7 linked regions of the Sus scrofa genome follow. The protein of the gene in region 1 interacts with the protein of each later gene in a pairwise test. Links are inferred from orthologs where the notes say so. Each region holds a gene or a part of one and is shown in the gene's direction. Other genes may lie near its edges. The genes, in order: PPP1CA, CSRNP1, TPRN, WBP11, SPRED1, STAU1 and ZFYVE9.

Region 1 (4,176 bases):
GTCTGTGACCAACACCACCGCTCACGGCAGCGCCGGATCCTTAACCCACTGAGCAAAGCCAGGGATCAAACCCGCAACCTCATGATTCCTAGTTGGATTCATTTCCGCTGCGCCACAATGGGAACTCTGAGAATTACGGTTTATTGAATGTTTGCTCTTCACGAAATAACATTTTTCACATGCGCACAATGTAGCTTAATTATGCTACTCAAAAGGCAATGATAAAACATAAAAAAAAAAAAAAAAAAACAGGGAGTTCCCCATCGTGGTACAGTGGAAACGAATCGGACTAGGAACCATGGAGTTTCAGGTTTGATCCCTGGCCTCGCTCAGTGGGTTAAGGATCTGGTGTTGCTATGGCTGTGGTGTAGGCTGGCAGCTGTAGCTCTGATTGGACTCCTGGCCTGGGAACCTCCATATGCCGTGGGTGTGGTCCTAAAAAGGACAAAAAGACAATAAATAAATAAATACATAGATAGGAGTTCTTTCTGTGGTGCAGCGGATTAGTGGTATGGCTTGTCTCTGTAGAGGCGCTGGTTCAGCATTGCTGCATCTGTGGCATAGGTCGCAGCTCCAGCCTGGATTCAGTCCCTGGCCCAGGAACTTCCACGTGCAGCTGAGAAAGAAAAAAAAAATTAACCGCTAATTCAGCTTGCATCACAGGCACTGTGGACCAAAATGGGCTTGGAGTTTAGTGACAGGTTTCTAGGTCTGGTCAGTCACCTGGGGGCCACAGAGACTCCGGAGGTAGAGGCCCTTGAATTAGGTCCAGGTCTTGGACCAACCCTTTGCTATCTCTGTGCACTTCAAGGACTTGATCGGCAGTATTTGGGGAGACCCAATGAGTTACCGATGAGCTCACACCAACTTCCCGCCCAGGGCGGAGGTGAGAAGGACTGCGTAGCCCTTAAAAGAGAAAAACAACTTCCACAGCACTTCCTGTCCCATATTCTCTGGAAAGGGGTGGCCAACTTCTCATAGGCAGAACTAGACTCGACCTCGCCCCTCGAAGCCCCGCCCACCAAGAGGCTCCGCCCCAGAGATGGGCGTTCCGTCCGAGTCCCGCCCCGTGACTGAGGCCCCGCCCCCCGGGCCGCTTGGGCCTCTGCGCCCGGCGTCCGGCGGAGGCGCTAGAGCGCTGGGGCAGCGGACGGGGCGGGGCGGGGCGGGGCGACGAGGGGCGGAGCGGGCGGCCGAGGAGGCGGGGCGGCGGGCCGGGGCGGGCCGGGCCGGGCCGGGCGGAAGGAGAGCCAGGCCGGAAGGAGGCAGCGGGAGGGTGGGAGGCAGGAGCGGGCCCGGAGCTGCTGGGCCAGAGCGGCGGCGCCGCCATGTCCGACAGCGAGAAGCTCAACCTGGACTCTATCATCGGGCGCCTGCTGGAAGGTTGGCCGGGGCGGGGGAGGTGGGCGCCCGCCGCGCCCTGGCCCCCTTCCCGGCCCGGAAGTGGCGCGCGGGTGGACCTGCCCCTCCCAGGGCCAGCTTAGACTGGGCGGGGACGGGCCGCGAGGTCCCGTGGCCGTGGCTCTCCCCGCCAAATCGCGGCGCGCCTGGAGGTCTGGGGTTGTTCCCCGCGCTGGAACAGGGCCGGGGCGCATGGGTCGGCCTGGGCTCTTGGGGTGAGGGAGAAACCCGAGAAGCCTAGCCACCCGGGAAGGGGTCCTGCGCTATCAGGCTTTGGGTGGTAGGGCCCCTGCGCACAGCAGTCCCCTCCCAAGTGCCTTGAGGGTAGTTGGGGTCCGGTCCCAGGAGGCTCAGCAGCAACAGCTGCCTCTGGGCAAGGAGGGGCCCAGGCGCCCCAGAAGTGCTCATGAGGGCCTGTGTGTCACCCACCCTCTCCTAGTCTCAGGGACCAGGGTCCTGACGCTCCTTCCACCCTCAGTGCAGGGCTCGCGGCCTGGAAAGAATGTACAGCTGACAGAGAACGAGATCCGTGGTCTGTGCCTCAAATCCCGGGAGATTTTCCTGAGCCAGCCCATCCTTCTGGAGCTGGAGGCACCCCTCAAGATCTGCGGTGAGCCCCCTGCCCAGCCCCTTTGCTTCCTGGAAGTGGTTTTGGCCCCTCTAAAGTCCCTGGATCCCAGCCTTATCCCTGGGTTCAGGTTTAGACTGAACCTAGACCTGACCTGGTTCCCTGGGTCCCAGGTGACATCCACGGCCAGTACTATGACCTTCTGCGGCTGTTCGAGTACGGCGGCTTCCCTCCAGAGAGCAACTACCTGTTCCTGGGGGACTACGTGGACCGGGGCAAGCAGTCTTTGGAGACCATCTGCCTGCTGCTGGCCTATAAGATCAAGTACCCGGAGAACTTCTTCCTGCTCCGTGGGAACCACGAGTGTGCCAGCATCAACCGCATCTATGGCTTCTACGATGAGTGTAAGTGCCATGGGTGTCTGGGGCTGCCCGGGTCCTAAAGGGCTCTCCTGGCCATTCAGAGGGACCCTCGAGTTGGCCTGGCAGCTGGGGTATCAGTGTCTGACAAATACCTGCTAGACTGAGCTCCGTGAAGGCAGGGCCGGGCCAGGCCAGTTCAGGTCTCTCCACCTGCCCTCCTGGCATGGGTCCTGGCACTCAGGAGGGATCTGGTGAATGGGTGCTGGCTGCAGGGCTGCCCGTATTCTAATAAGGGCCTTGCCCAGTGACACTCCCCTCCAGCGCATCCGTTACTTAAGCACTTAGGCTGCCTGTCTGGACTGGACTCTGTTTGCCAGAAGCAGAGATAAACAGACCTGGTCTTGGCCTGGCCCTGCTCATGTGCTGCAGGTGGGTGCCAACCCTGAGGTTGTTCCAGAACTGGAATGCTGGGGTTCCTGGAAAGCTGGTAGGCAGTGGGATGGGTTTCCCTTCCTTGCCCTCTCTGCTTCCCTCCCAGCTGTGTCTGAACAGCACATGATGTGCCCTGCAAGGCCCAGGGACCCCGGCTGAAGGTGGGGCAGCCAGGCCTTCTCACGAGCCACCTCCTTCCTCTGGGCAGGCAAGAGACGCTACAACATCAAGCTGTGGAAAACCTTCACTGACTGCTTCAACTGCCTGCCTATCGCTGCCATTGTGGACGAGAAGATCTTTTGCTGCCACGGAGGTGAGAGCAGCTCTGGGGCCCGCGCTGGAGGAGTGCTTGGGAGGGACGAGCCTGGCCCCATCCCGGGGGGCTTGGGGACAAAGGCATCAGCTGCAACAGTTCTCCCCCGAGTCGTTTCTTCCATGAAGTCCCCCCGCACCCTCATGTCAGGCTGTGCTGTCAGGTCGTGGCCACAGCTTCACACGTGGAGTTTGTCTCCTTTCTCCAAGGAGCCCTGTGCTCCTTGAAGAAACAGGGGCTACGAGAGGCAGAAGGTGGCGAGGTCTGCCTGTCATGGCTCCCAGGAGACCACGGAGGGGTGGGGACAGAGGCTGATCGGCAAGGCTTCCCGGAGGAGGCAGGGGCCTCGTTTTGAGGCTCAAGGAAGTGATCTACCTCCTGTGCTCCCCAGGCCTGTCCCCCGACCTGCAGTCCATGGAGCAGATTCGGCGTATCATGCGGCCCACAGACGTGCCTGACCAGGGCTTACTGTGTGACCTGCTGTGGTCTGACCCCGACAAGGACGTGCAGGGCTGGGGCGAGAATGACCGCGGCGTCTCCTTTACCTTTGGAGCGGAGGTGGTGGCCAAGTTCCTGCACAAGCACGACTTGGATCTCATCTGCCGGGCACACCAGGTGGGCTGGCGGCGCTGGGCTGGGCTGGGCTGGGGCGGGGCAGCCGGCACCTGCTGAACTAACTGCCCCCACCCTCACCCAGGTGGTAGAAGATGGCTACGAGTTCTTTGCCAAGAGGCAGCTGGTGACACTCTTCTCAGCTCCTAACTACTGCGGCGAGTTTGACAACGCAGGCGCCATGATGAGCGTGGACGAGACGCTCATGTGCTCCTTCCAGGTGGGCAGGGGGCCGGAAGGGGCCGGAAGGGGCCGGGGGCCTTTGGCCTGGCCCCATGAACCTGACTGGCTTGTTTCTTGTAGATCCTCAAGCCCGCCGACAAGAACAAGGGGAAATATGGGCAGTTCAGTGGCCTGAATCCTGGAGGCCGGCCCATCACCCCACCCCGCAACTCCGCCAAAGCCAAGAAATAGCCTCCATGTGCCCGCCCTCTATCCCAGATGGTGGATTGTACAGAAATCACATGGCCACAGGGGGGGTCACACTG
Region 2 (4,355 bases), on another chromosome or scaffold:
TCCTGAGAGCACTGGGAAGTCACTGGAAGGTTGGCTTCCGCTGTCCAGCCACCTCCCCCAGAAGGCCCCCCCAGGTACATACATTCAGTGCATCCAGGAAGAACAGGAGCAGTAGCTTCCCCCTTACATTCTTCCTAGGAAAAGGAAAGGGCAGGCAGACCCCCTCTTGACCCCCTCTATAGACACACCTGTGGCCGTTAAGGGAGATCTTTCCATCATCTGTACCCCAGATGCCAACCAGGCAGAACAGGTCACCCCCACTGCTCACCTGGAGTTAGGTAGAAAGCAACCCTGAGGGCTGGACTAGTCACAGACAGCACTCATCTAGGACAGTCAGAGAAGAACCCAGAATGCAGCGGGAGCCAGACTGGGAGGGGGAGGGTCAGGAGCCCACGAAGTCTCCCTGGAGGAGGCAGTGCAAGTTGAGACCTTAAGGGCGTTGGGATTTTGCTAAGCAGTGAGAGAACAAGAAGGCATTCGAGGTGAGAGGAAAGGCTGCTGCAAAGGTGTGAGGGTGGAAACGCTCAAGAGACGTGGTGGGTGGTGGTGGGTCGGATCTGACCAGGGGTTGGGAAGATGGGTGGAGGGTGGGCTCCTGGGCCAGAACTCGCCGCGGAGACATGCACACACTTTCCCAGGCGCAGTAACATTGGAGGAATTGGCCCTTAGTCAGGAAAGGCCTTGGCGGGAGCAGAGCAGGCAGTGGGCCATTTAAGTGGCCAGGGTCTGGCTCAGAAGAAACTACCCTTCTCTCTTCCTTTTTTTTTTTTTCTTTCTTTTTTTTTTAAGGGAGGGATGGGGTGGCGGTGGGGTGGGGGTAAACTGGTTCCAGGAATCCCTAGCTTTGGGCTTCTGCAGGGTTTCTCGCCCGTGCGCAGAGGTGAAGGTCAGGCCCAAGGATGACCTTCTCCCCCCCCTCCCCCCCCCCCCGCCCCGTCCCCACCTCCACTCCCCTCCTCTGGTTCATCTCCAGGTTACTTTCCAGGCGGATGGGGGCGGGTAGGGAGGAAGGAATATTTGATTGGATTATAGTAAACTGCCTCGGGCAAGGTGGGGGTAAGATGTATAGGAGGCCTCGGCTCTGCCACCCACGGATGGCCTGAGGTACGCTCTGCATTGCTCTGGGCCTCAGTCTACCTATCTGTGAACTGGGGCCGTGAAGAGAGGTGGGGATCTTTACGATCCTGCTCTGCCGGCCCGGAGCTTCGGGGATTCTCCAAAAGTGTGTGCGGAGGAGAGCCCGCGGGATTGCGGCGGAGGGGCGAAGGAGGGGGCTGGGGGTGGAGAGCGCCAGCGGCGCTGGCGCGAGGTCAGAGTCCGCAGGGAGGCCTGCGGCTGCTGCGCCGGCTCGGGAGGGGGAGGAGGCGGTGCCTCCGGGGCGGGGCGGGGCGGGGCGGGGCGGGGCGGGGCGGGAGGCCCGGCATGCGTCAGCGCCGTGAGCCCCGGAGTTTTCCACTGACGAGGAGGGCGGAGTTGCGGGCGGGGCCGGGCGCAGCCAGTCTCCCGCCGCCGCCGCTGCTGCCGGACGCACAGAGAGAGAGGGGCTGCTGGGCAGATCGCTGCCGGCTGAGCGAGCTAGCGAGCGCGGGGTCGCCGTGTAGGGGGCGTTCCCAGCCGGGACGCAGGTCTCAGCGTTGCCCTTGGCGAGCATCCGGATCTCAGGTCAGTGTCGGGGGCTTCAGACCGGTGGGACAGACTTTAGGAAGGGGGCGTCCCGTGCGGGGGGCGCTGCTCCCCGGCCCCTGCCGTTTTCTCCAGCCACCTTTGCTCGGGCGCCAGGACGAAGACAGCCTGGCCCCGGACCGCGCGCCACGGAGGAAGTCCGGGCCGGGAGCCGGGGAGGCGACAGTCTCAGGTTTTCCGCTCCCCTCCCCTCCCCCGCCCCGCCACTGGGACCCCAAGAAGTCCCTGTGCCCCGAGCCTGGGGTGAGTGGCAGCCGAGCCGGGATAGCGCGCGGGTGGCGGGGTGGCGGCGGGCGCGCGTCCCGGGTGAGTTCCCTTTTGACCCAGTTGCCTGAGAACTTTTCAGAAGTTCCTCGCGTGGCCGGAGCAGGTGACATTTGTCGCCTTCCTCCTCGGGCTCCCCCCGGGGGCGGGTGCCGGGGCTGCGGCGAGTGCCCGGCGCCCGTCAGGGAGGGAGTGGAGAGAAGAGCGAGGAGTGAGGCTCCGTGAGTCACGGACCCCTGGAGGGAGGGAGGGATTATGTCGTATGCTCACCTGTTTGTCAGTCACCGTCACACGCAGAGGCCACCGCTGTGAGTCACGGGCGCAGCTACACTGGCCACCCGCGGGCACACGTAGGCTTCTCCCACTCACGGCTCCCTCCCCAGCACGTACTTCCTCCTGGTCCTCAGTTTACCCTCCCCGGGGGCCCCGTTAAGATGCCCACACCACAGCAGCCGTCGCACACACTTAGTCACTCCTACTCCCTGGCACAGTCACGCACAGCCCACACTCATGACACAAGAGGGTCCCTGCCTGGCTCCACTGCCCACCCGACACCTCCACTCCGATGCCTCACAGTCCTCTGGAGCGCAACTCATCACTTACCCCAAATCCTCAACTTCACTGGCCTCTTTGGTCCCCAGCTCCAGAGGTCACCAAGTTCCTGCCCCCTTTCTCCTAAGCCTTTGGCCTGTCATCTCTCACCTAGCTCTGGTCCAACTGGTCACACCCCCTCCAGTCCTGAGCGGGAGCCATCTTTTTAAAATGCAAATCTGGTATGTCACTCCCTACTTAAAACCTTTCAGTGGCTTCCTGAGCCCTCAGGCTAAAGCCTGCTGTAACTGCCCAGGCTCCTGAAGCCCCCTCGCAGGCTGCCCCTTTCCCCTCACCTCCCTAGCTCTCCCTCCTCTAGCCCCCACTCTGGTATTTTTCCTACTTCCTCTCCTTTCCTTGGAGATACCTGACTTCACCTAACCAGGGATATCTTGCCTTAGTGGAGTGGAACAAAATAAATACCTAATTTTAACTTCAAAAAAAAATATCCCTCCCACTCTCCATTCCAGCACTCAACACAGTTTGTAACTCTAATTATACTCCGCCCCACTAAACTCACAGCTCTAAGGGGGCAGCACTAGTGTATGTCTTACTCTGTGTATGCCCAGGTGCCTGACACAGTGCTTGGCATGTCCTAGGCGCTCAATAAATATTTGTTGATTGAATGAATAAATGAATGAGAGTGAAGGGGCCCCGCTTAGGTGGAGGAAGCGTTCACTGTCAGGTGCAATTTCCCTTCTGCAGGAGCAATTGCCTCATGTAGCCAGCAAACTTTTGGCACCTCCCCAGTGCCAGGCCCTGGAGGCCAAGGCTGAGGAACTGTCCCCTCCCCCCGTCACTTTCTGAGGGTTGGGTGGGGGAGGGGTGTGCCAAGGCTTCCTATCTGCTTTCTTTAGGCTGTCCTGGGTGTTTTCTAGCCAATTCCCTTGGGGGCATGAGCTGCTCAGAGGTGCCCTCCCTTTCTCCCAGGAAGTAGTTCCTGAGGGTCCAAGGTCATGTGACCCCAGGTGTTGAGGGGAGCTGGCTTGACCAAGGCCTGGGGCTCTGAGGTTAAAGGACACATTCTTCAGATTCCTGAAAGAGGTTGGAGGCAGATGAAGGTGCCCCCTTCCCAATAATAGCTCTGACTGGGAGCTGGAGCATTGGGACTGCAGAGGTCGAAGAGGAGTTAGTGTGATTTTTCAGAGGCCTGGGCATTTCCCCCGCCCCCCAAACAGTCTTTGTTTGCTTGGTATCCAGGGTGAGTTGGCCTTCCCTGGGTTGACAATAGTGTGGCCTGAGTGTGCAGTTAGTTGTGGCAAGTTGGGTGAAGAAGCGCCCCCCCCTCCGCTGGCTTGGGCTCTGGGCTCCTGTGAGTGGTGATGCAGGGCGGCCTGATTCTCAGGGCCCAGGCAGATCCCGGAAGAAGCTTGGTTCTCTTTGATTCAGGGCCTGTCTCCGGGGCTCCAGGGGGTGTGGTATTTCTGTCTGAGCCAGCTCCTGGGAATTGCTTTTCCTTCCTACAGGACCCTTGGAGGGGGCTGTGCTCACCCTGGGAACAGTGCCATGGTCAGGATCTTGATTCCTGGGTAGCTGCTGGGGGCCCCTCCCCCACCCTCTGACTCACTGTCTGACACTTTTCTTGGACTCTTTCTCTATCTTTCATTCCTTTTCGACTTGGCCTCTCCTTGTCTCTTGACTGAGTCTTTTTGTCTCATCTGCCTCTGCCTCTCTCTCTCAGCCTCTGGGTTTCCAGGTGGGATGGCAGATCACAAGAGCCAGGGGCTCTTCCTCCTCCCACAATATCAGGGAGGAGATAATTTCTCATTTTCAGGTCTGCAGATTTTGCTAGGGGCTCATCACCAGAACCAGCATCA
Region 3 (4,113 bases), on another chromosome or scaffold:
TATCGTCTCCGTGCGCCTCTTCCAGGACGGAGAGAAGCGGCTGGCCGTGCTCCGCCTTTTCTGGGTCCTCACAGTTCTTAGCCTCAAGTTCGTCTTCGAGATGTTGTTGTGCCAGAAGCTGGTGGAGCAGACTCGGGAGCTCTGGTTCGGCCTGATCACGTCCCCGGTGTTCATTCTTCTGCAGCTGCTCATGATCCGTGCCTGCCGGGTCAACTAGCCTCGCAGAGGATATATTGGAATGCTGGACCCCAAGCTGAGGTCCCACTTGTACTGCATCAGAAGTCTGAGTCTGACATCCAGCTTGAGCCCTGCCGAGTGCCCAGTTTTCTCTCTTCCAGTCATGTCTGAACTTGTTCCCTCAGCAGGGCTAAAAAGAGCAGCCATGATCCTTGAAATGTACTCCCTCTTCTTTCATGCTTTGAATAGCTAACTTTGAATTGAGATCCCGAGAAGGGCCCCAGGCCACACAGTACTGAACACCTCTGACAGGTGGAAACTACATGTAGGCAAAATGCTCTGATCGGCTCTGAGTACTTTCATGGATCCTGGGGAGGTACCCCCTGTGCAAAGGCTGCGAAGCTGGACTCGAGCTTTCCTCTGGCCAGCAGCGCTGACCTGAGCGCTCCCGGCCCCAGCCCCAGCCCATCCAGGAGAAGACCTCCTTCGATGCCTGAGCTCTGGAAAGTGTAAACGTGCTTGTGTCTCCTTCCTGGTTTCCCTGGGGAGGACAGGCCTTCTTCATTCCAGCCCAGGCAGACAGGAGTACGTTGAATAATCACGACTGGAACCCTATGTGGAGTTCTCCACATAGCTGTGTGCTTTCCAGGCACTGCTTGGCTTCCTGTCCCAGCAGATTGCAGTGTCGTGACTTGTGCATCACCTTGTGGCCGGCCCTGTTAGCGTACCTGAGACAGATGTAGGCCTTCCTAGGGGACCAGGGAGAGGACCAGGTACCCTGAGGCTCGTGGGCATTGCGACCTACAAACGAGAAGTCTGCACATGGTCTCAGCCCATGCTTGTTGGCCTGAGGGCTTTGGTGTGGTGTCAGTCAGGTGCCAAATGAGAACATCTGCTGAGATGAAAATAAAAGCATGTTTTGCTGACGTGCACAGTGGTTGCTTGACCTCTTGATGGTGAAATAAGATGAATGCTGAGACGCCCCCTGCTGCGGGGTGCAGCAGGTTACAGAGCTGAGGTTGTAAGGGGGGCTGGAACTTGGCAGAGCTTCCTGGGCCGGGGGAGTGGTGGTGGTTCCCTTGGGGAATCCCAGATTCTGCCTGGGGAGGCAGGGGGTAGTCAACACAGGGTGCACTCGGGTTGAGAACCTATCAAGTTTGTGTGGCTTCAGAGTCTTTGTGGGCCTTGGCTGAGCTGCAGAGCAGGGGTTGGCAGACTATGGCCTGAGGCCTGTTTTTGTACTGCCCATCAGCTAAGAATGACGTACATCTTCATAGGGTTGTAAAAACAAAGAAGCATGTGCCAGGATGGGAATGTGGTCTGCAGTGTACAGGGTCTCTCAGTCTCGGCACTGTTGGCCTTTTGGGTCGGGTCCTTCTTCGTTGTGTGTGCATGGGGAGTGGCTGTCCTGATCCTTGTCGAGTGTTTAGTGGCAACCCTGGCCTCTACTCACGAAATGCCAGTGGCACCCCTCACTTGTGACAACCAAAAGTGTCTCCAGACATTGCCAAGTCTCCTGGAGGACAAAGCTGTCCCTGGTGAGAACCACTGGGCTAAAATATTTACTGGCTGGCCCTTTACAGAACACGTTTGTGGACCCTTTTTCTAGCGAAGCACCTTTGGGAACTTTTCCTGGGATGGATCCCACGTGGCCTGAACCACTGAGATGCTTGAGCTGGAAACTGGTCGTTTGCCCCACAGCCTCAAAAATGTCTCTTACCCAGGATCCGCTCAACGTGTCGAAGCCAGACACAAGCTGGTCCTTGGGAGTGGGTTTCTTTTTAATGTTCTTTTCAGGTTGTGTGTTTTGGTGTCCCTCCGCTGTATTCTGGTAGTTCAGAATGAGGTAATCCTGTCGACCTAGAAGTGATAAGAAGGCCTAACTTCTTTGGAAGGGTGGTTTGAGGCGCGTCCTGAAGGGACATCTGGGCTCTGGAAGGCAGAACTGCAGTTTCTTCTCTCTAGATGAATAGATTGGGCTGTTGGAGTGCTGTTAAAGTAGTGGCAGCTACAGACTGCCAAGGGCCCCAGGCTGAGCCGGACACCCCCAGGTCGAAGCCTGCCCCTGGATTTTGCAGAGCCCCAGGTGCTCTTGGAGCCTGGTCCCTGAAAGGTAAGCAGTGTGGGACGCAGTGGTGTCATTACTGGACAACTGCTGACGTAGGGCAGGTGACGTTGTCCTTGTCTACGGCCACCTTCCCCCTCTCTCCTTGGCACCCACAGGCACTGTGGGTGGGCACTGTGCAGCCCTCCAAGGGGAGTAAGCTTCCTCTTGGCAAGTAGGCAGAGAAGCTGTGTTCTCAGAGTCAGTGGCGCTCATACCAGCCTTGGGACGGGCGGTTCCACACGTGAACGGAGTATACGCTCTGACTCGAGGTTCTGTCTGCGTTGGAGAGCTGTGGGCCTGCTTTCGTGCGGGGAGGGAGCCCCCTTCCTCTGTACCTGCTCACGGCTTCCACACTCCCCTCTGTGTTTGGTGGGCTCTGGGCGTGAGTGGAGTTTCCACTACTACTCTGAGCAACTGAGTGGATACTGGGGGCGGCAAGAGCTAGGGACTCCCGAGAAAGCAATTCCTCAGCACCGGATGGGGCCCTAGCATTGGCATCCCCCAGAAGTCCCGCGGGGGACAGAGGACTGCAGGTGGGCAGTTCCTGGACCATGAGGCAGGTGTGCAGCCGGTTCCCTGCTCACGGAAGCTTCCAGCCCTGGGTTGGCTCTTCCTCCATCGATCTTCCCACGGGGGTAACGCAGACCGGGACCTGCTCTCCCCGGGCTCAGTCCGGTGGGGGCGGGGGTCTGGCCGAGGGAGCAGAGGCGAAAGTGGGGGCCTCCGAGGAGCGACCTGAGGCGTCGGGGGCGTGTCCGAGAGGGCCTCGCCAATGGGGGCCTGCTGCGGCGAAGGCCACTGTCCACCGGGGCTCGCGGGTAGGCGGGGTCGGGGAGGGCGCCCTCCAATCAGCACGGCCCGCCATCCTTCCCTGCCATAGGTGGGGCCGCCGGGCCCGGGCGGGTCTGAACGGACCTCCTCCAATGTGCGGCGGCCGGGAGGGCGTGGCCGCGGCGCGAAGGCCGGCGGCGGGCGGTGGCCGCAGTTCCTGGCCCTCGCTGGCTCCGGCGGCCGCTCTGCAGCATGGCCGGCCTGGGGCGGCCGGGCCCGGGATCCCGCACCGCGATGCCCGCCTGGAAGCGAGAGATCCTGGAGCGGAAGCGGGCCAAACTGGCGGCCTTGGGTGGGGGCGCGGCGCCGGGCGCCGGGGCGGGCGCGGCGGAGCCCCCGGGGCCGGCGGCCGAGCGGCTGGTGCTGGCCGAGAGCCTGGGCCCGCTCCGCGAGAACCCGTTCATGCGGCTCGAGTCGGAGCGGCGGCGTGGAGCGCGGTACGGCGGGGGCGCGGGCGTGGCGGGTCAGGGGGCGCGGCAGGCGCCGCCGCTGCTGGAGCTGTACCGCTGCGTGCCTGGCGTGCGCACCATCCGCGCCGACAACATCCTCATCATCGAGTCGGCGCCCGGCTTCCCGCCGGCTCCTGCGCCCGAGCCCGGCCCCGGCCCGGGCCCGGCTGCCCGCATCCGCGCCGCCGAGGTGCTCGTGTACGAGGCGCCGCCGCCTCCCGGTCGCGTCAGTCGCCTGCTCCAGAAGTTCGACCCGCCGGCCGCGCCGTGCCGCCGCGGGAGCCCAGAGCGCGGCCGCCCAGCGCCGCCGCCCTCCCCTGGCCGGTCCGTCCCGCGCGTGGGCGAGCGCGCCGCCTGCTTCAAGCCGGAGCCCGAGCGCTGCGGCTCAAGCCCTGGCCCCGGACCCCGGCGCAGCGACTTCCTGCACAAGACCGGCAGCAACTCCTTCACTGTCCATCCGCGGGGCCTGAGCCGCAGCGCAGGCACTCGCCCACTCCCCAACGGGCCCGCGGCCCCCGATCCCCGGGCTGGCGCTGCCAACGGCCTGGC
Region 4 (4,178 bases), on another chromosome or scaffold:
GACTCAAAATTCAGACTAAAACCAAATCAAGTGTTTTCTAAAGCAAGAGTTCCTTTAGATAAGGGACCGACTTTACAGGTTAAATGCCTATTTAAATACTCTCTAAAAGTTAATTATATACCTCCGTCAAGATTTTGGCATATTTATAACCGATAATAAGACTTGGCCTGTGTTAACATTTCCCTATAAGGGAAAGATTAAGGGGAGAAATAACCAAGGTGTCCTTATATTTTCTTAAATATTTAAACTTACCTTTAAAAGGAAAAGATATGGGAGGACTCTCAGATAAAGAGCCCATAAAAGCGAAGGAAAAGGACTGAGATTAGACCTAAGGAACTAAGTCCGTTAGCACAGTGACATCATAAAGGATTTTTGGTGAATGAAAAGAGCAGAAAAGAGCTGACATAAATCAATCTCACAACTCGTAAACTTAAAACTGACTGTACATGTACCCCACGTTCCCTCTTCAAAGAAAAATAGTCCTGCAGCAATCTGGGACTCTGATATGGGCACCGATTTGCTCAGGTCTACAAATGGTCTGTGTAAAAACTACTGAATTTCCAGGCGCACACCACGTTAGGCAAGTGCATCAAGCACAGCAAGAAGTGTTCTTGGGGGATTCTTTTTTATTTCATTTTATTTATTTATTTTTGTCTTTTTTGCCATTTCTTGGGCCGCTCCCGCGGCATATGGAGGTTCCCAGGCTCCGAATGGGAGATCGGAGCTATAGCGGCCCAGCCTACGCCAGAACCACAGCAAGGCGGGATCGGCGCCGCGTCTGTGACCTACACCACGCTCACGGCAACACCGGATTCTTAACCCACTGAGCAAAGCCAGGGATCGAACCCGCAACCTCATGGTTCCTACTCGGATTCGTTAACCACTGAGCCACGACAGGAACGCCCGGGATTCTTTTTTAAACAGAAACTCTCAAAAGACGGCAAGCGCTGGTCATGATCAAAGAAACTACAGAAACACAATCCCCGGTAACACAAACGGCGCTAAACTTCCCCATCCGGATTCCGCCCGCCTCAGGCGGTGAAATAAATGCGGATCCCGGAAATTAGGTCAGAATGCCTGAGGGTAGGACTGTCGTCGCATCAGCCAATCATATATCCCACCCGCTTAATTTTCTTATTCTTAACTGGGCTATAGGAGTGTCAATCAACATGCACTGCACTGAGTAATGAGGGCGGGCTCTCAGCCCCGACCAACCAATTCGGTACTGTACTCCAGCGGAAGAGACTCTGGTCCTGGAGTTGTCGGTTACTCTCTATGGTTTCAGGGCGCCGAAACGATGAGATTGTCGGCCCGTATGGAGAGGAAGTGACGTAAGGATGGCGGAGGGGCGCGAGGTTTCAAGATGGCGGTGGCTGGGTGGCTGACCGAGAGGCAGAGGTGAAGGCCTCTGCGAAGTCAAACAGGCCAAGAATCGTCCCCTCCCCGCTTCTCACAGCCCCAGGAGCCCAGCAGAGGTGTGAGTGTGCGGGATCGTTCCCCTGTGGTTCTTCATCCTTCGGGTCCCTTCCTGGGGCCCGCGCGGTTGCCCCGGGAACGCCAGGCCCCTGTGCCCCCGCTTTTCCTTTTCGCGGTTAGCGTCTACCAGACCGGGAACTAGGGGATCCCCGAGCCTGGAACGGAGCAGCGTCCGGCGGTCAAGCGCCTGACTTCTCCCGGGTTGGTCAGCGGAGCCTCCTGACGTTGACCGGGTTGCCTTAGGTTTGATGTGATGTCTATACCTGGAATCAGGGTCAACCGTCGCTATGGTTTCGGCAGTTGCTAATACTGTTGGCCCCTTGTTGGACCTGGGCTCCGTTCCTTTGAAGCCTCTTTGGAGGTTGAGAGTTCCGCTGAACAGCCCGTGACCCGATGTCTCTATCGCCTCTGCTTTTAGACAGGAAAGTAGTTTGTGCATAGTCAGGCTCCAGCATCTTCTGTAAAAATTCTCTGTACTTCGTACCTGTTTTAGGCTTCAGGCTGGGGAGAGGAGTGTCAACACCTAAGCCTGAGGGTAATTGAGAGAGGAAAGCAGAAAAGATAAAGCCATCAAAGATGCGAGAGCTTGTATTTGCACCAATTTTGCTTGTTTCCGCTTCCTTTCGCCCCTCACTCCCAGTTTTTGTGAGAAGGAAGCCCTTGACAGGGTGAATTAGTTGTTACTGGAACAGTTTTGAAGCTTTTTAGCAGAAATCCAGGCAGTTGAACACTTGCCGAAAGAGGTATTAACTAATAAACTTGCCTGAAAAAAACCTTCATGAAGGGAAGGGGGACTTACATGGTCTGCTAAAAAAGTGTACCTCATGATTTCTTTTCCACCTTTTATTATTTTCAAGAGCAAGCATCAAAAAGTTAAACCTCATTCATTTGGAATAACAGGAAGAAATAGTGTAATAGTGTCTTAAATTAATTAAAATTTTGACTTACAAAGTATTTTCCCTCAAACACAATTAACGCTTCCAGTGACCTTAAAAAAATACAAATCAGAAGTCAAGTTGATATTAGTAAGAAAAATATGTATCTTGATGTTTATGTGTTTAGAAGCTCTCATATACTTTCATTTTGAATATTTGTGTTTTTAGTTATGTTTTAAGCTTCTGCTTGAGAGTCAAGAATTATATCTGAATTCTAAATCTGCATTAAATAGGCTTAAATTAATGAGTTTTTACTGTCTTAGAGGTGTTGGGAAAACATGCCAGGAAACCAATGAAAGAGGCAAGGGTGAGCTATTTGTCGTTGAGCCCAGTTTTACACACACACCATCCCTTCTTATTCCTTTTCACCCTGCCTATAAATACAGGAAGGATATAGGAAAAGAACTAATAGCTTCTCATGCACATGGTTCATGTCATATTGTTGAAGCGTTTTCTGATTGATTTTTTTTTTTCTATTGATGAGTCAGTATTGTGATCCATAGAAGAAAGTTAACTGACGACTAACTGATATTCATAGTGATCTTCAGGCTCATTACCTTTGTAAATAATAATAGGAATCTGTTGGGGAAGTTGAGACTATCTTTCCTGGGCACTAAAGTCAAGACTAGGGAAAGAATAAGGTCTCAATCAAAGAAATGTTTCTTTTCAGAGTTTAGTAGGAAGAAAATTTTATCAGTATAAAAAGAAATTTTGTAAATATAGGAAAAATCAGTGTGGTTTTTTGTTTGTTTCTTTTTTTTTGTCTTTACAGGTTTTTAGGTTTTGGGCTTTTTTTTTTTTTAAACAAGTAAACCGTACAAATTGTCAACATGGGACGGAGATCAACATCATCCACCAAGAGTGGAAAATTTATGAACCCCACAGACCAAGCCAGTAAGTATCCATTAATGTGAAATGATAAGGAGGAGAAGTGGTAAAAATCACAAGGTTTAGGAAGTCTATTTTAAGCCTTAGAGATCAGCAGTGTTAGGAAGTATCAGTTATAAAATTACCTATTGTTCTCTTGGGCACATGATTAAAACTTTAAGCATACCAAAAAAAGTAGCACCTGTATTTCTAATTTGATTGACTTTCAAAGTAGAATTGGCTTAAAGCTTTCTTTTTGTATTTGGGATTTTAAACAAATTGTTTTTAAGTTTTTGTTTAGTATTTTTTGGCATCTTTTTTCTTCAGAATCATAGCTATTTTTTGAGGGACTTAACAATGTCTTGATTCATCTTGGGTTGATGTAATTGGAAGGGTGCTGTTGGCCTCTAATGGGTAAAATCAAGGAGTGCTGCTAAATCCTACAGTGCCCAGGGTCAACCTCCCACGTTAAAGAATTATCTGTATTAAATTGGAGAAAATGCTAATGTTCAAGACTTGAAAGTTTTATTTTCTTTCTGTCTCCCTCTCTTAAGGAAAAGAAGCTCGGAAGAGAGAATTAAAGAAGGTATGACTTCAGAAGCATCCTATTAGATATAAGTGTAGTTTGGCACATCTTATTATTTGCAATGAGTGGATTTAGAAAACATTTCCAGTTGTTTTTGAGAAAAGATACATTATGCTTCTCATAACAAACCATAAGATTTACTAAGCCAAAGTACTATACTTGCAAACTGAGGTATACAGTTACATTGTTTTTTGTAAGCCAAAATACTATACTTGCAAACTGAAGTATACAGTTACAGACAGATTATTGTAACATAGTTTTTTGGTTTTTGGTTTTTTAGGGCCGCACCTGTGGCATGCAGAGGTTCCCAGGCT
Region 5 (4,400 bases), on another chromosome or scaffold:
CACTTCTCGTCACAGTTTCTTTGCAGGAACAATATGAAAAACATAGGTTCAGAGGCAACTTCTGACTATTGCCTATCCCCTTTACCTCTTCCTGTCACTAACACTACCCCTTCCTTGCCCTGAGAAAGGACAATTCTGCTGCAAGACAAGAAGCAAGAGTTATATAAAACCTCAGAAATCAACGGGAGGGTCTTTGGGCAGACTGATTCAACTCCTTTATTTATTCCTCTAGGATTGACTAAGCACCTACAATGTCCAAAATACTATATAAAGGCTTGGTCCAGACTCTCTGGAACAGCAGTCCTGAAACTTCCTGGAGATGGATGGCAAACGAGTGCTGACTTATTCGGCAGTCTCCCACTTTTTCTTTCTCAGGAATTGTTCTATTCCTCAAGGTGGCAGGAGCAGCAACCTTCGTCCTCGGGTCGCACAAACCCAAGGAGAGAAAAAAAGCACTGCACACAGAGCCATACTGATACCTAGGGAGATGCGTCAGAAACTTGGGACTCAGTCCACCAGGCCTGATCCAGTACAGGCTGCCTTTCTAGGTAGGTAAGAGATAATAGCACTTGCAGAGCCAGGAGCTGAGTCCTCTGGTCCGGCAGACCCTTAAACTCTGGCCCAAACCCCAGTAGGTTTCTGTGCAAAAACCTTTTGAGCTGAATGCATACATTGTCCTCTAACATTGCAAACGTGACAGCTGCCTATTGAATAATTGTTCCGCCTCGGTTTAGAGCAGTTCGTGCGTGCCACAGAGGCATCTTCTGCGCTATAGTTATGCAACCTCACTCGCAGCGGGAGTTATTTCCTGTGCTTCTGGCTGCGCCAGATTCATATAACACGCCTACCCAGGGCTTCAATGGAAGTCGTTCTCCATTAACAACCACGCTAGCTTTTTGAGATGAATGCCCCGCACAGAATACCCCTTGCTCAGTAAGAATCCAAGGTATTTAAACTCTTTCTCCCTCTCTAACACACACACACACACACACACTCCTTCAGTGCATGCAGCTAGGAGACTGCAGCAGTGCAACCAGAGGGACAGCAGGAGGAGCTCTCTTTGTACATGTAGTCCCTTCCCTCCAACCCCCACCAACTAAAGATGAACTCATGCCAGTTCCATTCTTTGCTCTGCAAGGAAAACACACACACACACACACACACACACACACACACACACACACACACACACAGCTGAACAGAGGAGCCTCCATTGCCTCCTTGAGCACGCTGTCATCCTAGCCTCTAGGTTCAAACAACCCGGATATTCCAAAGCGAGTTAAGGGGAGTACCGCGCCGCCACAATGCAACCTCCGGAGCTGCTCCCGGTGCAGCTCCCACCCCCGCCTCCTTCCGCGGCGTGCCAAGAGTTTGGAGCGCGCGCACGCACACGAGCACCGTGCCTGCGTATCCCTCCGCCTCCCTCCTCCTCTCCCCGCTCTGTGGCTCGACAACGATTTGGGAAATGAAGGGAGGAGGGAACTACTTTCCTGAAACTTGCTATGCTGCACACGACTTCGAGTTGCGGTGATTCGTCCTGAGGTCGCAGCTTTTAGCCCTCCTACCCACTACACCCTCACAGCCCGGTCACCCCGCTCGGCCACCCCGCCCCATACCCACTCTGGTTCTCCGGGAAGCTGGCGGTGCGGGGAAATCGCCAGGGACTACTTCGTCTCCTTCTCCCGCGGGCGCCCCCGGTTCGGGCAGCGGCGGCGGCGGAAGGAGCGGGCGGCGTGAGCGCTTCCGCCGCCCCCCTCGCGGCTCCCCTCTGGCGGGCGTGAGGAGCTGACCCGCCGAGCTGCTGCTGGGCGCAGGCTGCTGGGGGACCCGCGGCCGCTCCCTCGCTCTCCCGACGCTTCTCGTGACCCTGCCCCTGGGGCGCGTCGCTCTTCTCCGGCCCGGCTGGGGGCGGTCGGTCCGCCTGCCCCTGCCTCACACGCGTCCCGCCGCCCCCTCCTCCCTCTTCTGGAACCGTCCCGGCCAGAGCGTGTCTGGAGGAATCCGCCGCCCTGAGGCCCCTCGCCCGCTTCTGCTCGTCCGGAAGGACCGGCCCGGTCGCCGCCGGGGACTGAGGGCAGCCGACCGCGAGGCGGGAGATGGTGGGGTGGGCTTCCGCAGGACCGCGCTGCCGCCGCCCGGGTCTGGGCTCGGCACCCCCCCGCCGGCCCCCACCGAGCGGAGCCCTGCTTCCTCCTCGCCGCATCCTTGAGGGAAGCGCCGCCTCTGCTCCTGGGTTCTCCGCCCGCCCGCTCCTTCCTGGCCGGACCCCGCCGCGCTCCACCCCAGTGGCCGGAGGAGCAGCTCTCCAGTCTGCCTTTGCAGCCCCCCTGCCTTTTTTCTTCTCCTCCCACCCTCCCTGGCTTCCTCGGATCTCTTGGCTGGGCGCTGAGGCGGGCGAAGAGGCTGGGGTCGCCACGGTGGAGGTTGTCGCCGCCACCCCCCTGCGGGGGTGGCCGGGGTTCCCGGCTGGGGGGGTACCGTTCCGGGTGAGACATCCACCATGGTGAGGCCCCTGAGCCGCTGCCCCCGCGCCCCCCCGGCCGCCGCTGCCTCTTGCCCCTCGGTGCTGCTGCTGCTCCTGCGTCTGCTGTTGCTCCTCCATCTCCAGATCGGATCACGGTGAGGGAAAGATGAGCGAGGAGACGGCGACTTCTGACAACGAGTAAGCACCTTACTGATCTTGATTACTTACCACCCCTCCCATAGCCCCCTTCCTTGGCACTCCCCCAGACCCCTCAGAGACTTAGGTGCTTGCAACCCTGGAGAGTTCGGTGCATCTTGCTGTGGAGAAAACATTTGTTTTTTTAGCCATTTTATTTAATGGCTGCACCCCACCCCCTCACCCCCACCCCCAGCCTTTAGTTGCTTTCATCTGGGGGAAGGTATTTAGTGTTGGGCTGGGATGGCAATTGTGCGCTCGGGAGATGGAGTGCTGTAGATGCATGGAGGCGGGGTAGAAATTACCCCAGTGCCTGGAAGACCTCTGGCCTGTCCTTTTTCACTTTAGCATGCCGGTCAGCATACCTTGAATATCCGTCCTGCCTCCTTTATAGCAGTTTCTTTCGGAAACTAACGTGTGGGAGCACCTCCTGCCGCAAACTGCTCTTGAATCTTAATTCGATGAGTCAGTGACTCTTAAATACCGATTAAGCCCCCCCCCCTTTTAAACTTGTGACCTGTAGGATTCTTGTAAAAAAATGGGGCGAGGGAAACATTTTAATAATTTAATAGCATTAAGGACACCTTGAGTGTGGGAGATGTTAAACTATACTGTTTTGCCTTGCGAATGCTGGACTTGTCTTTATCAGGAGCGTAGAAGGATTTTGAACGCTCAGCTATAAGGATTTTTATCTCTCTCAGCTGTATTTTGAAACACACCATTTACGTTGATTTAACAGTGTTTACATTGCTGACCTTTTTGATGACTTCATTCATTAACTTCTAGAGCATCCCGGCTTAAGTTCTTGTTTATTTGGGCTGTCCTTATGTTTTCCAAACGAAATACTGTGCCTTTAGAATATTTTGCTTTAACGTAACAGCTGCCTGGAGGAATAATGATGCGGCAACCGCTTTCTGTTGAGACGGGATTTAATTCCATGCTGCTTATTAGCATCCGTTTCTTGTAATTAAATTCAGGTTTTGATAATCTTTGGAGGGTTATAAAGAGTTAAGTGAGTTATAAAGAGTTAAGTGAGTTAGGACTAGTAGGACGCATTCCTTTAAGTAATGTGCATTCCTCAAGTCAGACCTTTTTGAGAGAACTTTAAAGTCCGAAGCCTAGGCTTGTTTAACGTAAAGTAGCTTGAGAAATGCCTTGCAGCGTCCCCCACCCCACCCCCCCCAGCGCTCTCTTCTGCTGAGCGGGTGTGGGAGAAGGTAGATTGCTGCAGTGTCAGTGCAGTCTGGAAGCAGAAGTGGCCGCCATGTTCTCTCTCTTTTTGTGAATCGTTCTCATTTGCATAGCACACTCTTCATTCATAAAAAAATAATTAAACATCCATCACCTTGGACATCTTGAAAGGATTTCCCAAGAAAAAAATTAGAAGCTCAACTGTCTGCCTTGCTGTAGATTTTTGAGTTCAGAAAGTAAGGAGAGTTCGAAGTTATAGGTTAAATTCAAAAATAGACGCACACACAAACAACTACCCCTGTTCTCAGAATGTTGACACAGTTATGTGGGAAATATCAGTTCGGGGAGGTGCTGGGATCACGTGATCGCGTCCATTCATAAAATACCTGGCTGTCCATTCACAGTGCTGTACACTGTCTCACTGCCTTCCGCAGATTAGACCTACTTTGAGAGAGATCAAAAAGTATCTCAGATAACGCAAAGTTAGTAGAGAAAAACTGCTAAAAATCCTGAACAGATTGACGATATTTTTTCTAGTATCGTCTTTTAA
Region 6 (4,087 bases), on another chromosome or scaffold:
GCAAGAGAGAATGTGCCAGGACTTCTCAAGTAACTTAATGGCTCTGGTCATTCATGTCTTTCTAGAGGTTCAGCTTTAATTAAAAATCATTTTGAGACTTAAAAAAAAGTTAAAGTAACAAAAATTACCCTGTAATAGATGTGTTAGTTTGCTGCTTTCTGCTTGGTTGGCTTTTTCTGTTCTTTGTTGCTTGTTATTTTTTAGTACTTTTGACTTAAACATTTTCAGCTTTTCGAAGGATGGCCATGAAAATATGCAGAACTGCCCTTATTTTTGACTCATGAATAAATTTAAATGTCTTTAGATGCAAGGCCTTTGGAAGATGCTGTAAACAGTCTCCTCTGTTCCTCAGGCTCTACCCGCTACCAGTAGAAAAATTGCCAGTCTGAAATCTTTTCCTCTCTTCTTCATCCTCTCCACTTTTGCTTTTAATAGTACAAATACTATAGAATGTTCTTTCCTATTCAGATAATTTCTCAGGGTCATGAGCATTGATGTGGGTGCCTCAGTTCTTGTTTGGGGCCTATAAATAAATATGACCATCTCAAACAAACCTCTCGTGAAAACAAAGAGATCTTTATCATCATAAGGAAAAAGAAACAGCAAACGTGAGGAATTCCTCTCTTTCTTCAGTCAACTTAAAGGAAAGCTCTCAGGGTGCCAGCCTAAGTAGTTGGCCCTAAAATGGAAGCAGTATTTAATCACCTGTTAATGGTGTTACCAATCCATTTTGCTTTCAGCTTCTTATCATTTTGAGATCAGAAACCTTTACTGTATTGCATATATAATAGAAAACTTATTCATATTTTTAAATTTGCATTTTTGAATATAAGCTGTGGTTTATGATTCTTAATATTCAACAATAAATATTATACCCTGCTGGTTCTCTTTGTAAAATAAACATGCAGAGCGTGTGGGTATTATAAGTTGTTTAAAAACACTATGAGAAAGTCATAAGGCTAGTGAACCTACCATATAACAAGGAGAAACACATTTCTAATACATCAACATAGCTACCTACTAAACGGGGCTATTTTCATACTTGAGTAGGTGACACCAGTTTTGACTGAATATTGGCAATTACGTATCTCCTCTATAATTTATCTTTTTATTTTCTTTCCCTACAACTTTCAGGTAGAACTTTAGACTTCATAGCACTGAATTAACCTGCACTGAAAGCTGTTTACCTGCAGTTGTTCACTTTTTTGAAAGTGACCATGTCTCAAGTTCAAGTGCAAGTTCAGAACCCATCTGCTGCTCTCTCAGGGAGCCAAATACTGAACAAGAACCAGTCTCTTCTCTCACAGCCTTTGATGAGTATTCCTTCTACTACTAGCTCTCTGCCCTCTGAAAATGCAGGTAGACCTATCCAAAACTCTGCTTTACCCTCTGCATCTATTACATCCACCAGTGCAGCTGCAGGTAAGCGTATGACTCCAAGTGTCTTCTGTTTCAAATGTTTTCTTAGCCTGTGTTCTGATCTGATAAGTAGATTGCAGATGTAGGGAGCTCTCACACATTTATCTTCAGGAAGCAGAAGAAAGTATTACTGCCCACACTTCTTTATCCCAGATATGAAACACTTGTTTGTATATTGGGTTGATGGAGGCCTTGGACAGACCATTTTGAAGTGTGAGAAAGAAAATTGGAAACTAAACTATAAAGTTTACTGTGTTATAAAGTGGTGGATGGCAGAAAGAATTGAATAATAAATACTACTTTGGATATTCATTACTATATGGGAAAATTTCTGCTTTTAAAGTTATTTCCCAGAGGAGTTCCCTGTTGTGGCTCTCGATAACAAATCCAACTAATATCTGTGAGGACACGGGTTTGATCCCCGACCTCGCTCAGTGGGTTAAGGATCTGGCATTGCTGTGAGCTGTGGTGTAGGTTGCAGATGTGGCTTGGATCTGGCGTTGCTGTGGCTGTGGTATAGGCTTGCAGCTACAGCTCCGATTTGACCCTTAGCCTGGAACTTCCATATGCCGCAAGTGCAGCCCTAAAAAAAAAAAAAAAAAAAAAAATTTATTTCCCAGAACTGACTTGTAGGTGTAAGCCTCCTTTTTGGATATATATAAGATTTATCCCAAGCATGGGAGCAGCCAGATTTACTGGAAAGCAAAAGTGTGTTACCATTCATTAATATTTATTTTGAAAAAGTAAGTTTAAGTTGAGGTTCCAGAGGTAGTTACGAAATCATAGTGTGGACCAATTAGAAATGGAACAAAGAAGCAGAGTTTTTTGGTTTTTTTGGTTTTGGCTGGAGCATGCAGCTGCTTGATGTGGGATCTCAGTTCCCAGAGCAGGGATTAAACCCAGGCCGTAGCAGTGGAAGCACCAAATCCCAATCACTGGACCACCAAGGAACTCCCAAGAAGCAGAGATTTTTTTTTTTTGAAAGGAAATAAGTTGAGAAGCAGTCATATTTGAATATTAGGAAATTAAACCGAACTAAATACTCTCACTCATCAGAAAGGATATGACACCTCTGAAAAAAGAACCTCCTGAAAACAATATTCTGCTTCCCAAACCTCCCCTGCCTCCGCCGAAGTTGCAACACCAATTAAATGGGGTATCAGCATGGGTGTCTCTATATTAGAGTCACCTTCTAACAAATTCTTTTCAACTCAATATGCTTGACAGTTTCGCTTGCATTTCCTCCTTCATCCTCTCATTTTCTTTACTTTTTAAATCTGTTCTTAGAGCGTTACCTTGTCCCACTCTCATCTGCATGGCATCTATCATGCTACCTCTAGACTTCCTTGGACTGGCTCACCAAATAGCATTCTTACCTTGTTATAGTCCCCTAAAGAGTCAGTGTTCCCCAGATTTGCCATTTGAATGCCATCTTAATAGGAAATGGCACAGACTATTTCAGTCCTCTGGGATTTATTGCTGTTTCTTCTCATGTGTTCTTATATCCACATTTTGTTAATTTTATAAAAGTCCTGTCTGCCAAAGCCATTTTATTTTTCTTGTATAATTGTCAGAAATAGATAAAGCCTGAGGATGGCAGCCTCTGGTGATAAGACTAGAGGACGTACCAAGAATGAGAAGTTAGCTGTGTGGAAAACGACAGTCGTTGTTTGAGAAATGGTATTGGCATGTTGCGTTTTGTGAAATAACGAACAGGGTACAGTTGACAGCTGTTGTGGTAACCAGTGTGTGTGTGTCTCTGCTCAAAAGATCTCCTGGTTATTCCTTTGTGTATAATAGCAGTGCTTCATCTGATTTCAAATCTTGCGTGCCTGCCATAATTTAGTTATTCCTCTGACTTCTGTTCTCTCTCTTTTGAAGACACACCCTCTCCTAGGTTACCGGGCTTCAACTGGTTCAGAAAAGATCTGGCTGTGTCTTCAGACTGTGCCCCCAGTGTGGTTTGCAGTTTTGCATCACGGCTGCTCTGAATCCTTAGACCTTCATTTTTCATATCCCTGGTAGAGCCACAGTCTTATATGCTACTAGTTGACTTCAATGCTCTTACATTATTTTTCAGTTCCTTCTAATATGGCACACCCCAAAGAGAAAACCCCAATGTGTCTTGTGAATGAGTTAGCCCGTTTCAACAAGATTCAGCCTGAGTATAAGCTTTTGCGTGAGCAAGGTCCAGCTCACTGTAAGGTAAATATTGTCCATACTGCTTGTGCGTTTATAACCCACTAGGAATGTTTTCTTTCTTTTTATATAGTTGCAAGTGGTGCTCTGATTCAAAATACGTATTTTTTAACTGCTGAGGTTGTCTGAAAGAGATGCAAAAGTACAGATTTTTGGCAAGTCGCTTCTTTTTTCATCTTTGCAGAATGGGTCAAAGAAAAGATAATGCATCTTTTGGGGGATATTTGGCTTTTAAAACTCCAATTAGTGTGTGGTTGTTTAAGATTCTGAATAGAGACAATTCCCAAGTACCTGCGAATGATTTCCTGTGAGTTTTACAGGCTCCGAGCCTCCTGGCTACAGCCTTCCTCTGGCTCCTTTCCTGCTTGTTTGCACGTGCACGTGTACCTTAGACTGGGCAGGGAGAGCAGGTGAGCAGGAAATCAGTTTTGCCACTTGCTAGCAATCCAGATACAGGGTTTGAACCTGA
Region 7 (3,633 bases), on another chromosome or scaffold:
TCCATGTAACCCACATCTCAGTCATGATGTAGATTATAGAGCATTCTGCCTTCACAGAGAATTCCTTTGTTTTCCTCCCACTCAATTACTACATCCTTATCATTGTTCTGATTTGTTTCCATCTCAGAGGATCCCCTACCCCATGCTTTGCTAATCCAAGGCCTTCCCCATTACTGCCACCCCACCCCAGGCCCCAAATATAGCCTGTGGACCACTTTAATTATGTTACTAGACTTGTTTGGAATGTTCTGAAGTATTAGCATTTGATGACATGTAATACAGGGAGCAGTATTTTCTTATCCTCAGCTAACAATTGGAAACTCCATATCCTAGGAATATTCAGTTTTCACATATCCTGAGAATATTTTATTTTCAGTGCATATTTGCAAATGTAGTTCATTAACTTAGTTCTAGCCTTATCAGTGTTATAGCAAACTTATTGTAATTATTTATTTTTTCAGATGAAACTGTTTCTCCTATCTTATTGGATACAAAATGGAATAAGATACTAGATCCCTCTTCTCACCGACTGTCATTTAACCCTGCATTGGCCAGTGTGAATGAACCTACAGTTTCTGAGTCACAGCCACAACTGAAAATCTTCTCCCTGGCTCATTCAGCTCCTCTTAACACAAAGGGAGAGGACCATTGTGCTAATGGACAGGATTGTAGTCTGAATCCAGAGATTAGCACAATGTGGATTGATGAAAATGCAGTTGCAGAAGACCAGTTAATTAAGAGGAACTGTACCCAAGATGATCAATGCAGTACTGTTGAAGTGGGAGAGAAGAAATGTGGAAACCTAGCTTGTCTGCCAGATGAGAAGAATGTTCTTGTTGTAGCCGTCATGCATAACTGTGATAAAAGGACATTACAAAGTGATTTGCAGGACTGTAATAATTATAATAGTCAATCCCTCATGGATGCTTTTAACAGTTCGCTGGATAATGAAAACAGACAAACTGATCAATTTAGTTTTAGTATAAATGGGTCCAGTGAGAAAGGAATGAACTCAGAGAAACAAGTAGATCCATTGAGTAGACCAAATGCAGAGGGGGATTCTGTTAAATATATGTGTACTACTTCATCTGATAATCTGGCCAGTGTCTGTTCCCCTGCACAGTTACAGGATGATGAAAATACAGATAGAGAACCCTCCATGTCTTTGATTACAAGTTTAACACTTGATTCAGTAATCTCATCCCAGGGAACGGATGAAGGTCCTGCCATAAAGCAAGCGGACTCTACACCAGATGAGGTTCTCACTGGCCAAACCAGCTCTCCTAGGACAGATCTAGGGAGCCCCAATTCCTTTTCCCACTTGAGTGAGGGGATATTGACAGAAAAAGAGCCAGCAGAGGAGAGAACAACAGAAGAATCCATCCAGTCTGGTTTACCTTTGCTTCTCAAAGCAGACGTGCCTAATGGGTCTGGAAGGGCTGATAACTGTGAGCAGTTTTCAGATAGCCTTGTACCCCGTGACATTGGAGCTGATGAAAATGAAGGTTGTAAACATGAAGAAATTCTTGGCACCTCAGAACTTCTTAATATGACAGAGCATTTCTCTGAATCTCAGGAGATGACTAATTGGAAATTGACTGAACCAAACAAGATGAATGACAGCCAGGTAAATATGGAGAATGAGAAGTTTCTGCAGATAAGTCACCCTGAAGACAGCCACGATGATAGTGGAGGAGAGTGTGATAGATTGGCAGAAGCAAGTCTAGATTTAAAAGGAAACTGCATGAATGAAAGTGAAGGATGTGATTTCTCCACTGTCATGGATACACCAGCAGCAAATTCACTATCTAGTTGTGATTCCTATGGAATGCAGAGCCCAGTTGTTTGTTTTGTTCCAAAGACTTTACCCTCCAAAGAAGATTCAGTAACAGAAGAAAAGGAAATAGAAGAGAGCAAGTCTGAATGCTACTCAAATATTTATGAACAGAGAGGCAATGAAACCACAGAAGGGAGTGGACTACTTTTAAACAGCAGTGGTGACCTCATGAAGAAAAATTATTTACACAATTTCTGTAGCCAAGTTCCATCTGTGCTTGGGCAATCTTCACCTAAGATAGTAGCAAACCTGCAATCTATCAGTGTTCCTTTTGGTGGTGCAAGACCCAAGCAACCCTCTAATCTTAAACTTCAAATTCCAAAGCCATTATCAGACCATTTACAAAATGACCTTCCTGTAAACAGTGGAAATAATATTAAAAACAAAAATGATGTCCTCGGGAAAGCAAAATTAGGGGAAAATTCAGCAACCAATATATGCAATGCCTCTTTGGGAAATATCTCTATTGCTGACACAAATGGGGAACATTTAGAAAGTTATGAGTCTGGAATATCCAGTAGACCGTGCCTTGCGTTAGCTCCGGAAAGCCCAGATAATGATCTCAGAGCTGGTCAGTTTGGAATTTCTGCTAGAAAGCCATTTACCACTCTGGGTGAAGTGGCTCCAGTATGGGTACCAGATTCTCAGGCTCCAAATTGCATGAAATGCGAAGCCAGGTTTACATTCACCAAAAGGAGGCATCATTGCAGAGCATGTGGGAAGGTAAGTTGTGTGTATCAGCTCAGGAATCTGGCATGCACATTTTGTAATGCTGAGTTAGAAGTAGTAAGGGCAATATAAAGTAAGCATACTTCTGGTTGAGATGACATTGTAAGTAGCTTTTGAACATCTAGTTATAGTAAGTTTCCAAATGAAAAATGACCTCATGGAGTCCTAGTGTTTATATACATTTTGTTGTTGTTGTTGTAAAGATTTAAGCTGAATCAATGTTTATGAATACATGAGAATTGAGGAAGTGTTAACTTTGTGGTTAGTTGCTTAATGGAATAGTTTGAAATAAGGAAGTTATTCTTTTGATTTAAGAAATATTTGCAATTGGCTCTTTTTAAATTCTTGAGTAACTGAACATTATAAAGACCATTCCAGTTTTTACTATAGGATTTTTGCCATTGTACTGGACATTCTGGAACTTTCTGCACATATATACACATATTTTTGTCTTTTCCCCCGTATAACTGATACAAAAAAAAAAAAGAGCTGAAGGCTTTAGATCCTTGTGATAGGGTTATAGGAATAATTGATATTTCTTAGCTCTCCCTTAATTCTCTTAGCTAAAGGAGGAAAGGGGATTTTGTATTTTTAAAAAGAATGCAGGCTTTGGTGTCAGGTCTGGGTTTGAACTTCAGCTTTGTTACTATCACTGTATAACTTTATTAAGCTTTAGTTTTTCATAAAAACAAAAAGATCATTTTCATTGGGCTGTTATGAAGATTAAATGAGATTACAAATGTAATAGTGCTAAGTAATTAACCTCTATACCCTTCTTGCCTGATTTATTGGTCTGTTTGTATTAATTAGAATGCCTTCACCTTCAAAGAGCAGAGTATCTGGCCCTCAGTGACTTAGACAAAATAACATTTCACATAGCAAGAAACCTGAAAATAGAGACTCTGCATGCTTTGTATATGGTCAGAATCGTTGACGTGCTCTTGGTCTTCCCCTTGTGGTCTCAAGATGTGGCACAGCTCTAAGCATTAAGTCCAACCTGGCCTCTTCCCAAGTGCAAGAAACTGATTAGGGGCAAAACAGCCTATTCCTCTTGCTGCCCCCACATC

What was found.
Region 2: the proteins of PPP1CA (region 1) and CSRNP1 interact in binary tests that used the Homo sapiens proteins (3 or more experiments, as listed by UniProt). The link is inferred for Sus scrofa from reciprocal best matches to the Homo sapiens genes PPP1CA and CSRNP1.
Region 3: the proteins of PPP1CA (region 1) and TPRN interact in binary tests that used the Homo sapiens proteins (3 or more experiments, as listed by UniProt). The link is inferred for Sus scrofa from reciprocal best matches to the Homo sapiens genes PPP1CA and TPRN.
Region 4: the proteins of PPP1CA (region 1) and WBP11 interact in binary tests that used the Homo sapiens proteins (3 or more experiments, as listed by UniProt). The link is inferred for Sus scrofa from reciprocal best matches to the Homo sapiens genes PPP1CA and WBP11.
Region 5: the proteins of PPP1CA (region 1) and SPRED1 interact in binary tests that used the Homo sapiens proteins (3 or more experiments, as listed by UniProt). The link is inferred for Sus scrofa from reciprocal best matches to the Homo sapiens genes PPP1CA and SPRED1.
Region 6: the proteins of PPP1CA (region 1) and STAU1 interact in a two-hybrid assay, tested with the Homo sapiens proteins (2 studies listed by BioGRID and IntAct). The link is inferred for Sus scrofa from reciprocal best matches to the Homo sapiens genes PPP1CA and STAU1.
Region 7: the proteins of PPP1CA (region 1) and ZFYVE9 interact in binary tests that used the Homo sapiens proteins (3 or more experiments, as listed by UniProt). The link is inferred for Sus scrofa from reciprocal best matches to the Homo sapiens genes PPP1CA and ZFYVE9.

What each region holds. Positions count from the first base shown.
Region 1 is NC_010444.4:5,118,909-5,123,084, forward strand, and holds the start of PPP1CA (serine/threonine-protein phosphatase PP1-alpha catalytic subunit), read left to right. Parts: upstream 1-1,293; 5' UTR 1,294-1,328; coding exon 1,329-1,383; intron 1,384-1,879; coding exon 1,880-2,011; intron 2,012-2,142; coding exon 2,143-2,373; intron 2,374-2,971; coding exon 2,972-3,076; intron 3,077-3,467; coding exon 3,468-3,691; intron 3,692-3,773; coding exon 3,774-3,908; intron 3,909-3,991; coding exon 3,992-4,102; 3' UTR 4,103-4,176. UniProt on the Homo sapiens protein: Protein phosphatase that associates with over 200 regulatory proteins to form highly specific holoenzymes which dephosphorylate hundreds of biological targets.
Region 2 is NC_010455.5:23,842,296-23,846,650, reverse strand, and holds the start of CSRNP1 (cysteine/serine-rich nuclear protein 1), read left to right. Parts: upstream 1-1,452; 5' UTR 1,453-1,662; intron 1,663-2,550; exon of another isoform or gene 2,551-2,838; intron 2,839-4,355. UniProt on the Homo sapiens protein: Binds to the consensus sequence 5'-AGAGTG-3' and has transcriptional activator activity. May have a tumor-suppressor function. May play a role in apoptosis.
Region 3 is NW_018084833.1:698,451-702,563, forward strand, and holds the start of TPRN (taperin), read left to right. Parts: upstream 1-1,257; 5' UTR 1,258-3,307; coding exon 3,308-4,113. Other genes in the region: TMEM203 (transmembrane protein 203), read left to right, coding at 1-217. UniProt on the Homo sapiens protein: Essential for hearing. Required for maintenance of stereocilia on both inner and outer hair cells. Necessary for the integrity of the stereociliary rootlet.
Region 4 is NC_010447.5:57,748,675-57,752,852, forward strand, and holds the start of WBP11 (WW domain-binding protein 11), read left to right. Parts: upstream 1-1,273; 5' UTR 1,274-1,477; intron 1,478-3,183; 5' UTR 3,184-3,241; coding exon 3,242-3,305; intron 3,306-3,832; coding exon 3,833-3,864; intron 3,865-4,178. UniProt on the Homo sapiens protein: Activates pre-mRNA splicing. May inhibit PP1 phosphatase activity.
Region 5 is NC_010443.5:133,013,813-133,018,212, reverse strand, and holds the start of SPRED1 (sprouty-related, EVH1 domain-containing protein 1), read left to right. Parts: upstream 1-1,487; 5' UTR 1,488-1,620; coding exon of another isoform or gene 1,621-2,602; 5' UTR 2,603-2,630; coding exon 2,631-2,662; intron 2,663-4,400. Other genes in the region: basic salivary proline-rich protein 2-like, read right to left, coding at 1,621-2,602. UniProt on the Homo sapiens protein: Tyrosine kinase substrate that inhibits growth-factor-mediated activation of MAP kinase. Negatively regulates hematopoiesis of bone marrow.
Region 6 is NC_010459.5:50,849,267-50,853,353, reverse strand, and holds the start of STAU1 (double-stranded RNA-binding protein Staufen homolog 1), read left to right. Parts: upstream 1-1,180; 5' UTR 1,181-1,217; coding exon 1,218-1,422; intron 1,423-3,499; coding exon 3,500-3,624; intron 3,625-4,087. UniProt on the Homo sapiens protein: Binds double-stranded RNA (regardless of the sequence) and tubulin.
Region 7 is NC_010448.4:159,983,917-159,987,549, reverse strand, and holds part of ZFYVE9 (zinc finger FYVE domain-containing protein 9), read left to right. Parts: intron 1-461; coding exon 462-2,560; intron 2,561-3,633. UniProt on the Homo sapiens protein: Early endosomal protein that functions to recruit SMAD2/SMAD3 to intracellular membranes and to the TGF-beta receptor.